Styela clava: one gene and its partner. Each later gene encodes a partner of the first gene's protein in a complex. Links are inferred from orthologs where the notes say so. Each region holds a gene or a part of one and is shown in the gene's direction. Other genes may lie near its edges.

Region 1 (3,758 bases):
CCGTGTGATTTTCAAGTTTACCGACTCCACAAGATTGACTTCTTTGATGGTGACGTACTTTGCTTTTGATATTCGTCAAATTCAACCCCACGCGATCAAGAATTCCGTGAACTTTCTGAAAAGGGTAGATTATGGCCTAGGTGAAAAACTCAAAAATATTTGAAAATTAAATAATTGCATAACTCAGCTTATAACTTGCTTAGATTTCTATCGAGATGATCATTCTCCGTAGCATTAAATATCTTATGTTGGTGAAATGCATGACCAACCTTTATTTTTGAAATAACGTCTCCGAACTCCCGCGGATTTTCTTCGACGTTTCTCTCTTCCATCATTTCTGTTAACCTAGTAATTATTTGCGTTTCTTGGGAATAAGTTTGTCTATTGTGCATTATGACATCACACATGATTTATAATATTGTCAAGCAACTGTTCCTAATTGCTGATACTGTACTTTCTCTGTGTCTACGCGTTAGTCAGTGAAACCCCGTATGCACCGACTGCGAGAATACTATTACAATTTATTCAGTGGCTATTAATATAAAATATTAGGTATAGTTATTTGGAAACAGTTTCCATAACTAGGCCTTTTATGTACTCTTTCATTCTGATTTCATTTGTACAATATACATTTTTTTGTGATAATATGCTGATTAGGTACTCACTGTCCACCGACTCGTCATAATCACAACTAAGCCCACTATATTTCTATTAGCTTTCAATCATGCTGTTGTAAAATTTACCAGTATATTTAACTACGAGTCTTTTTCCATTCCCGAGTTAGATATACTGAATTAAAATGTTTAGTTGTATTTTCTCGGCTATAACATGCTTTCACACACATTTCAAATCGACAATTGATTGATTGAGCAGAGCCATTATATAATGGCTCTGGATTGAGTGTTACTGAGAAATGCTAGTAATTTTGTGCGTCAGGCGGTATTAGTGCCTAGTGGCGTGGTTACTTTTTGCTCTTGCTCATTCGATTCTGCGATTGCTGTTGCGTCAGGCCAGTCCTTCCTCGGTCAGTTCTCGTGGTGTTCTGATGACTGGCCATTATCGTAGATTGTTGTATAAAACCTGGCTGTAGTACTTATATACGACTAAGCGATGCCTTCAACAAAGAAAGGCAAGCCTCAAGGTGGAACTTTTGAACAAGAGAATGTTTTACAAGCTGTTGTTGTAGCAGACAGATTCGATGAAAAATTTCAACCTCTTTCTGATGACATTCCTTTGGTGAGTAGTGAGTGGTCGCCAGTATGATTACTTAATTGAAACTGCAAATTTACCACTTATAAAAACTGAAATATGTATAGCCAACAATTACATATACAGATATAATATAACTTATGAAGACAACACATCTCGAGTTCAATTAAAAATGTTTTTACGAGTCACAATTTTGCGTTCGTTTTGAATAATGGTATTTACTAATGAAAAATTAGAATATGAGGTACTCGATGTAGACGTGACACGAGAGGTTTTTCTCACTGATTTGAGGCTTGACTCAAAAAATGGAATGGGTCATCAGGTGTTCAAATATTCTGAGATTTTGTAGATTCATTATAGCGAAATTTGTGTAAACGATTATCAGGATGAGCATAATCATTTCTCACAAGTGTTTAAACATTTAGGCCCCTAAATTATCCTTTTCTATTTTAGGCATTGTTCCCCTTAGCAAACAAACCATTGTTGGATTACACGCTAGATTTTCTGTCATCAAATGGAGTTCAACAGATCTATGTTTACTGCTGTCATTGCTCTGGTCTGATAAAGGATTATATTGCAAACAGCAAATGGGGAGCCAAGTAAGAAAAGCAAAGAATTCATCTCCATTATGTGTGATGATCAAATGTCTATTATTATACAATGCCATTGCAGTATCAGTATTCAAATCACATGATAGCTTATCAATATTATTTATTGAATATGCCAATTCATTACAGTTTCACCAAATTCGTACAATAGATCAAATGAAAAAATATGGAATAAAATATATGAGCATTACTACTAGGAGAGTTCCATCCACAAAACTTTAACCCAGAAAATTTTGAACAAGTCTAAAAAATATAACACAATACAAAGAATCTATTGAAAAAAGATCGCACACTGGAGCTTTAGATAAGATTTTAATTTTGTCTACATATTTCACGAAGAAAATTTTCCATCTGAAACTTCCAGAGGGAGGAATTTTTTCTTGAAATTTTCCTAAACACCAGCGGTGCATATTTGTATTTTATTCTTTGTTTATTGTTTGATCTATTTTTTATTCAAACATATGTTGTCTTACAATTGAGCTGAAGCATGGCGTTTCTTTTGAATTATAAGAAGCTTGCATATTTTAAATAAACTATATACCGGTAATGAAATAAACAATACCTTTTTCAAATAATTCAATATATTTATTTTTTACCATTAGATTGCATTTATATATTTATATCCAAATATGGCTTATCAAAAATCTTTGACATAGTTAAGAAATTATCTACCAAGTATGACAAATATGTCTTTAGAATACCTTTTTCCAATAAATTTAATTTTCAAGTTAGTAGCTTCCTGCACATTAGTGGATGGTTCTCTAACGCCTTGTTTAGAGCAAAATTGTGGAATTTTTGTTCGAAATTACTAATCATTGACAAATTTTATTCCAGATCCTCTCAATGCCGAGTCACTCCTATTGTGTCATCAGATTTTACATCATTGGGTGATGTATTGAGAGACATCGATCAAAAATCGTTGTTTGAAACAGATTTTCTTCTTGTAGCAGGAGATCTGATATCGAATATGTCTCTTCAGCAAGCTTTAACAGAACATCGGTTGGTATTTGCGAAATATCTCGTCAATAAAGTAGGCTATGCTAATTGTGTACGTAGTCACAGACAATTGTTTAAAAGCTGATGAAATGATGAAAGATTAAACACATATTTTTGAATAAACTTCATTTGTTCAATACTGCTGTATAATTGACTTAGCTTAGAATAGTGTGTACAAATTAATATTAATATTGCCTCATTATTGTTTGGCAATTGAGATAATAACAGCAGTGTCTTCTCAGTCTTCCTAATAATGAGTAACTTGTATTTAATTCAATAAATGTGCAAGAGGAATTCTGGTCTCCTTGCTTTCATAGGGAGGTTCAAGTAACCGAAACCTGTTACAAATTTCTCCACCATAAAGTCATCTATAAAAAAAAATAGCACAAAATACACAGCATGCACTGGGAACCGGATGAAAGGCTGTGGTTCGCCATATATATATATATATATCTTATCGCCTTTCTTCTCTAGAATAAATATGAAAATCCTATCTTTCAACAGGCAAATATAACCCTTTTCACTGTTTATATTTTGCTTTCAGGGATAGAAGGACGAAAGATAAAAATAAGCCGTTGATGACACTAATTTTGCGTAGTTGTCCTCCCACTCATGAGATGAGATCAGCAGATGATGACATCGTTGTTGCTCTCGATTCTCATACTCAACAAGTTCTTTATTATCAAAAAATCGGTTTAACAAGGAAACCTAAATTTGAGTTCCCATTGGTAAGGCCACATACGTTTAGCATTCCGAATAATTTTAATGAATAGACACAGTTTTATTCTTGTGCCATTTGTTGAATCTCCATTATTATTATTATCAAATATCCTCGTTATTAAAGCACATCCAATCTTTTGTTCTGGTTACCAATTTGCCTTACTGTGAGTGAACACAGTTAAAAATATTTTGAAAAGCTTCCAATTCTGTTTCGTATTTCTATTT
Region 2 (3,758 bases), on another chromosome or scaffold:
GTATCGTAACACAGATTAACTTGACAGCCAACTATGCTCTCCTTTATTTCATTTGAATTGTAATTTTCACTTTGACCGATAGAAATTTTGTTCCAATATTATAGTACATAATAGTTACCTAATATTGGGATATAGAATGCCCAAATTCACATATAGACTTTTCACTGCTGATGACTATCCCAATGTACTGAAACTTTTAAAGTCGTGTTATGCTCCGATATATGCCTCAGTAATATTGACGAAGATTTGAATTCTTATTTTGCTTTGACATAAGGTTTACATGAGTAGGAAAATTCGTTTGCAGCGCTCAACAAAGATGATGAAATAATTGGTGTTTTTGTTAAAGTTGTTCCATAACAAGCAAAATTAATTACTATTGTTACTATTGTATACTAATTACTATGTTAATACACCTGTTTTCAATCTTCTCCGTGCCTTACCTAGTTTTCCGCTTTATTACTTATCCATTTTAATCGGTAAGTATATTGATAGGTATTTGTCTGTCTGTCTGTTAGATGCACGCGATATCTCACGAAAGCGAGATTGGATCTGCTGCAGATTTTGCATGTGCATTCATCATATCTCGTACCAGAAGCTTATTGATTTTGGGCGAATTATGTCGTATAATTAGCAAGTTATCAATTAATTAGTGATGGGACACAAGGTGTCACTATGGAGTGAGAGCGCTGTTTTGGGATCCCCTAACTTTTGATCGACAAGTCTTCGTCCTCTGACCGATATTCTCGTTTTATGTTTAATTATAATTTACCGCTTATAAACTTCTCATGATTGAACAGTGTTGTAGTAGTATTTTGTTTTCAATATAAGTTAGACATCTCTCCACATACATAATTAAGCATGTCCATTGAAAAGCACAGATGCAGGCTTATGGTACTACCTGGCTATAATAAAAGAATTACTGTATAATGAGAAAACTGAATTTGTTAAGCAGGTAGAATCTTCACACTGTCTATTTTTTTAGCTGCTTTGTAGGCTGTACAGTAAATGCTGTTTTTCCAGACAGTATTCACTTGAAGTGTTTTAAGTAATGGGAAATCGCTATTTGCTAATATCTCAGGTCCTTTAGTGGGCATTTGTGAATACATTTGGTAAACTTCTATAAAAAATTTGTGCCTAATATAAACATTAGATTATTTTCAATCAAGGCTATTTTTATATTATATTAATCATCATTGGATTGGATTTAATTTATTTAATAATATATGTTAAATTATGCAATTAATACTTATAATTTCATTTAATCAGAAACTAGAATAGCACTGATAAACTTATATATGGTAAAAAATATGGAATTTCAAGCTGTTATCATGGCTGGAGGCAGGGGTGATCAAATGAGTGATTTAACGTCCAGCATTCCAAAACCTCTTCTACCTATTGGGAATAAACCTCTGATCTGGTATGCAGTTAATACACTGGAAAGAGTTGGTTTCAGAGGTAAGTACAAATTACATATAGACAGCAGATTAGCTGTTTCACCAGCTGTTTTATTAGGCAAATTTATGGTCAAGTTGGAGATATGTATTAAACTCGATACGATTAAATTTTATTGACATGATTTTGTAATGGCCAGTTTGATGGTGTTTTCGATACGTTACATCACCCATTAAAACAATTCTGTTGTTAAGGTTTTGACGTTTAATGACTTTGTATAATTTAAGATATCCGAGTTCCGAACTGCTATGTCTCACTCTCACACATTCCTTATTCAACTCTTATGTGGCAAATATGTCCCATGCCATAATTAAATAAAATTATAATGAACTACAGTAAATCTGTTTGAATGATTTCAGAATTTTCACCTATTCATAGAACATGGGCCTAAATCACTTTAATTCCATGCAATTTTTTCAATTGGCACTGCCAGTATTTTGATACATTTGCTTCGCAACGCTTGTTAGTGCTTATGAAACGCATTCGCAATTCCAAACCAAATACATTTGCTGTGCAATTTTGATCCACATAGTTTATGTGTAATAAAATGAAATCAAATATTGTGCAATTTAGTTTCATTTTTATGTTTTTTCTTCTATATTATAATTGCCAAAGTACAATAGACCTAGTAATGTTTGTACTTTACTGTGTTTTTGCCCTGATCAATGGCTGTCAAGCATGCAATATAAATTTAATACAGAACCGCGAGTTATAAAAAAAAATAAGTAAAAATATTACATAATGGTTCTTACTTGAAGTTCAAGTCAGCATCCGTCATTACTGTACTTTTAAAGAGCAAATGGGTCTCAGGTGTTATTAACTAAGATCTATCCTTTCCACTTGTTACAGAAATCATAATTATTACTATGAATTCAATAGTAAATTCAGTAAAGCAAGCAATATCTTCACTGAAAAATATAAATGCTGATATTGTGGGAATATCAGAAGATTTAGACTGGGGAACGACAGACTCTCTTAGACATATCAAGGATAAAGTAAAGGTATTCATGTACGGTTATCTGTCTGTTGTCTACTTGAACTTTATTTACATATTTTCATGAAGAATATTGGAACAATAGCCGCTTATCTATATACAAAATACAGACAAGGCCTGTACAGTAGGCACATAGTAATAAGCGTTAGAAACACACACTGAAAGAGTTCACAGGTTCGAATCTTGTGGGGGATAATTATGTGCATGATGATGGTTGTACTCCTCGTCGCCGTAGGGTTACAGCTACCACCACCATCATGTCATTGTATCTGAGACAAATAGCTAGATGAATATTCCCATACCTGGCATGAACCAGGCGAAAAACTGTGTATTGCTATATGTTTAACCCTTTCCGTGCGGTGGGCAGGTATACGTACCCACGACAAAAGTCGCTAGATTGCGGCGGGTTATGTTGATATACTCCACTGTTTTATTTAGCAATCCGTCGCAAACTGTTGGTCTAGTTTTTCCGGGTTTTAGTTTATTGACAAGAAGTCTTCTTCGAGATTAACATAAGCGACGGTGAATCTCGCTTTCGTTTACGACGGGAATTTTATTTGCGGCGGAACGAGGGAGTGTTTTTGAAATTTATGCAAATTTCGGTGTTTTTGGGTGGTAATAGAAGACATATTATCCCTTCTATCTACCAAAGTATTTTGAGTTAGATCACGAAATTGCTACAGCAATAGTATGCTGTTGTTTGCCAACCACGAAGCGGTAACAGTAAAGGATTTAGCGAATATTTCTATTTTTTATCACGGTTTGAAGTTTCAACTCCCAAGAAAAAAAAATGCCTTTTTCCTATCCGGTTTGTGACTCAGACCACCACTTTTGAAAAAACTTTTTTTTTTAATTGCCAATTGGAAGCTCTTTGAATAAGCTTTCCAACGAGCCGTCAGTGGGCAGCAGAGGATCATTAGTTTTTCGTTAGTCGATCGATTAGTTGTGGGGGTACAAATGCATAAAATCGGCGTAGCAAATACGATTATTTAATAAAAAATAAAAATCGCATGGAAAGGGTTAAGCCATCTTATCGTCTTTCCTCTGCCTTGAAATAAATATGAAACTCCTATCCTATCTTAAAACCTGAATTTCTTATGTCTGCTTGATCAACTGTAAAACGTCATGATCCTATATTATCAATACTTTATTTTTTGTTTATATCAATTCAGTGTATTGTCTATGTTAAAATGAGGTAGAGAATGAAAGTAAATCAAACATGTATATTTTCAGTGTGATCTTCTTGTGATGAGTTGTGATATACTATGTGACTTTGAGCTTCACCGATTAGCAGATGTTCATCGACTACATA

Evidence for each region.
Region 2: the proteins of translation initiation factor eIF2B subunit epsilon-like (region 1) and translation initiation factor eIF2B subunit gamma-like are in contact, whole or in part, in a cryo-EM structure (PDB 7VLK), measured with the Homo sapiens proteins. The link is inferred for Styela clava from reciprocal best matches to the Homo sapiens genes EIF2B5 and EIF2B3. Residues at the interface, in NP_003898.2 of Homo sapiens: Pro190, Val202, Arg222, Arg223, Phe224, Ala225, Phe226, Pro227, Leu228, Phe231, Gln232, Ser234, Ser235, Asp236, Gly237, Val238, Glu239, Val240, Arg241, Tyr242, Asp243; in NP_065098.1 of Homo sapiens: Arg155, Phe157, Glu178, Glu179, Leu180, Val181, Ile182, Lys183, Gly184, Leu187, Gln188, Pro191, Arg192, Ile193, Arg194, Phe195, His196, Thr197, Gly198.

What each region holds. Positions count from the first base shown.
Region 1 is NC_135263.1:12,251,136-12,254,893, reverse strand, and holds the start of translation initiation factor eIF2B subunit epsilon-like, read left to right. Parts: upstream 1-920; 5' UTR 921-1,110; coding exon 1,111-1,236; intron 1,237-1,662; coding exon 1,663-1,808; intron 1,809-2,651; coding exon 2,652-2,816; intron 2,817-3,357; coding exon 3,358-3,541; intron 3,542-3,758. Other genes in the region: uncharacterized protein LOC120340882, read right to left, coding at 1-115, 270-335. UniProt on the Homo sapiens protein: Acts as a component of the translation initiation factor 2B (eIF2B) complex, which catalyzes the exchange of GDP for GTP on eukaryotic initiation factor 2 (eIF2) gamma subunit.
Region 2 is NC_135259.1:11,791,552-11,795,309, forward strand, and holds the start of translation initiation factor eIF2B subunit gamma-like, read left to right. Parts: upstream 1-1,245; 5' UTR 1,246-1,295; coding exon 1,296-1,455; intron 1,456-2,301; coding exon 2,302-2,453; intron 2,454-3,679; coding exon 3,680-3,758. UniProt on the Homo sapiens protein: Acts as a component of the translation initiation factor 2B (eIF2B) complex, which catalyzes the exchange of GDP for GTP on the eukaryotic initiation factor 2 (eIF2) complex gamma subunit.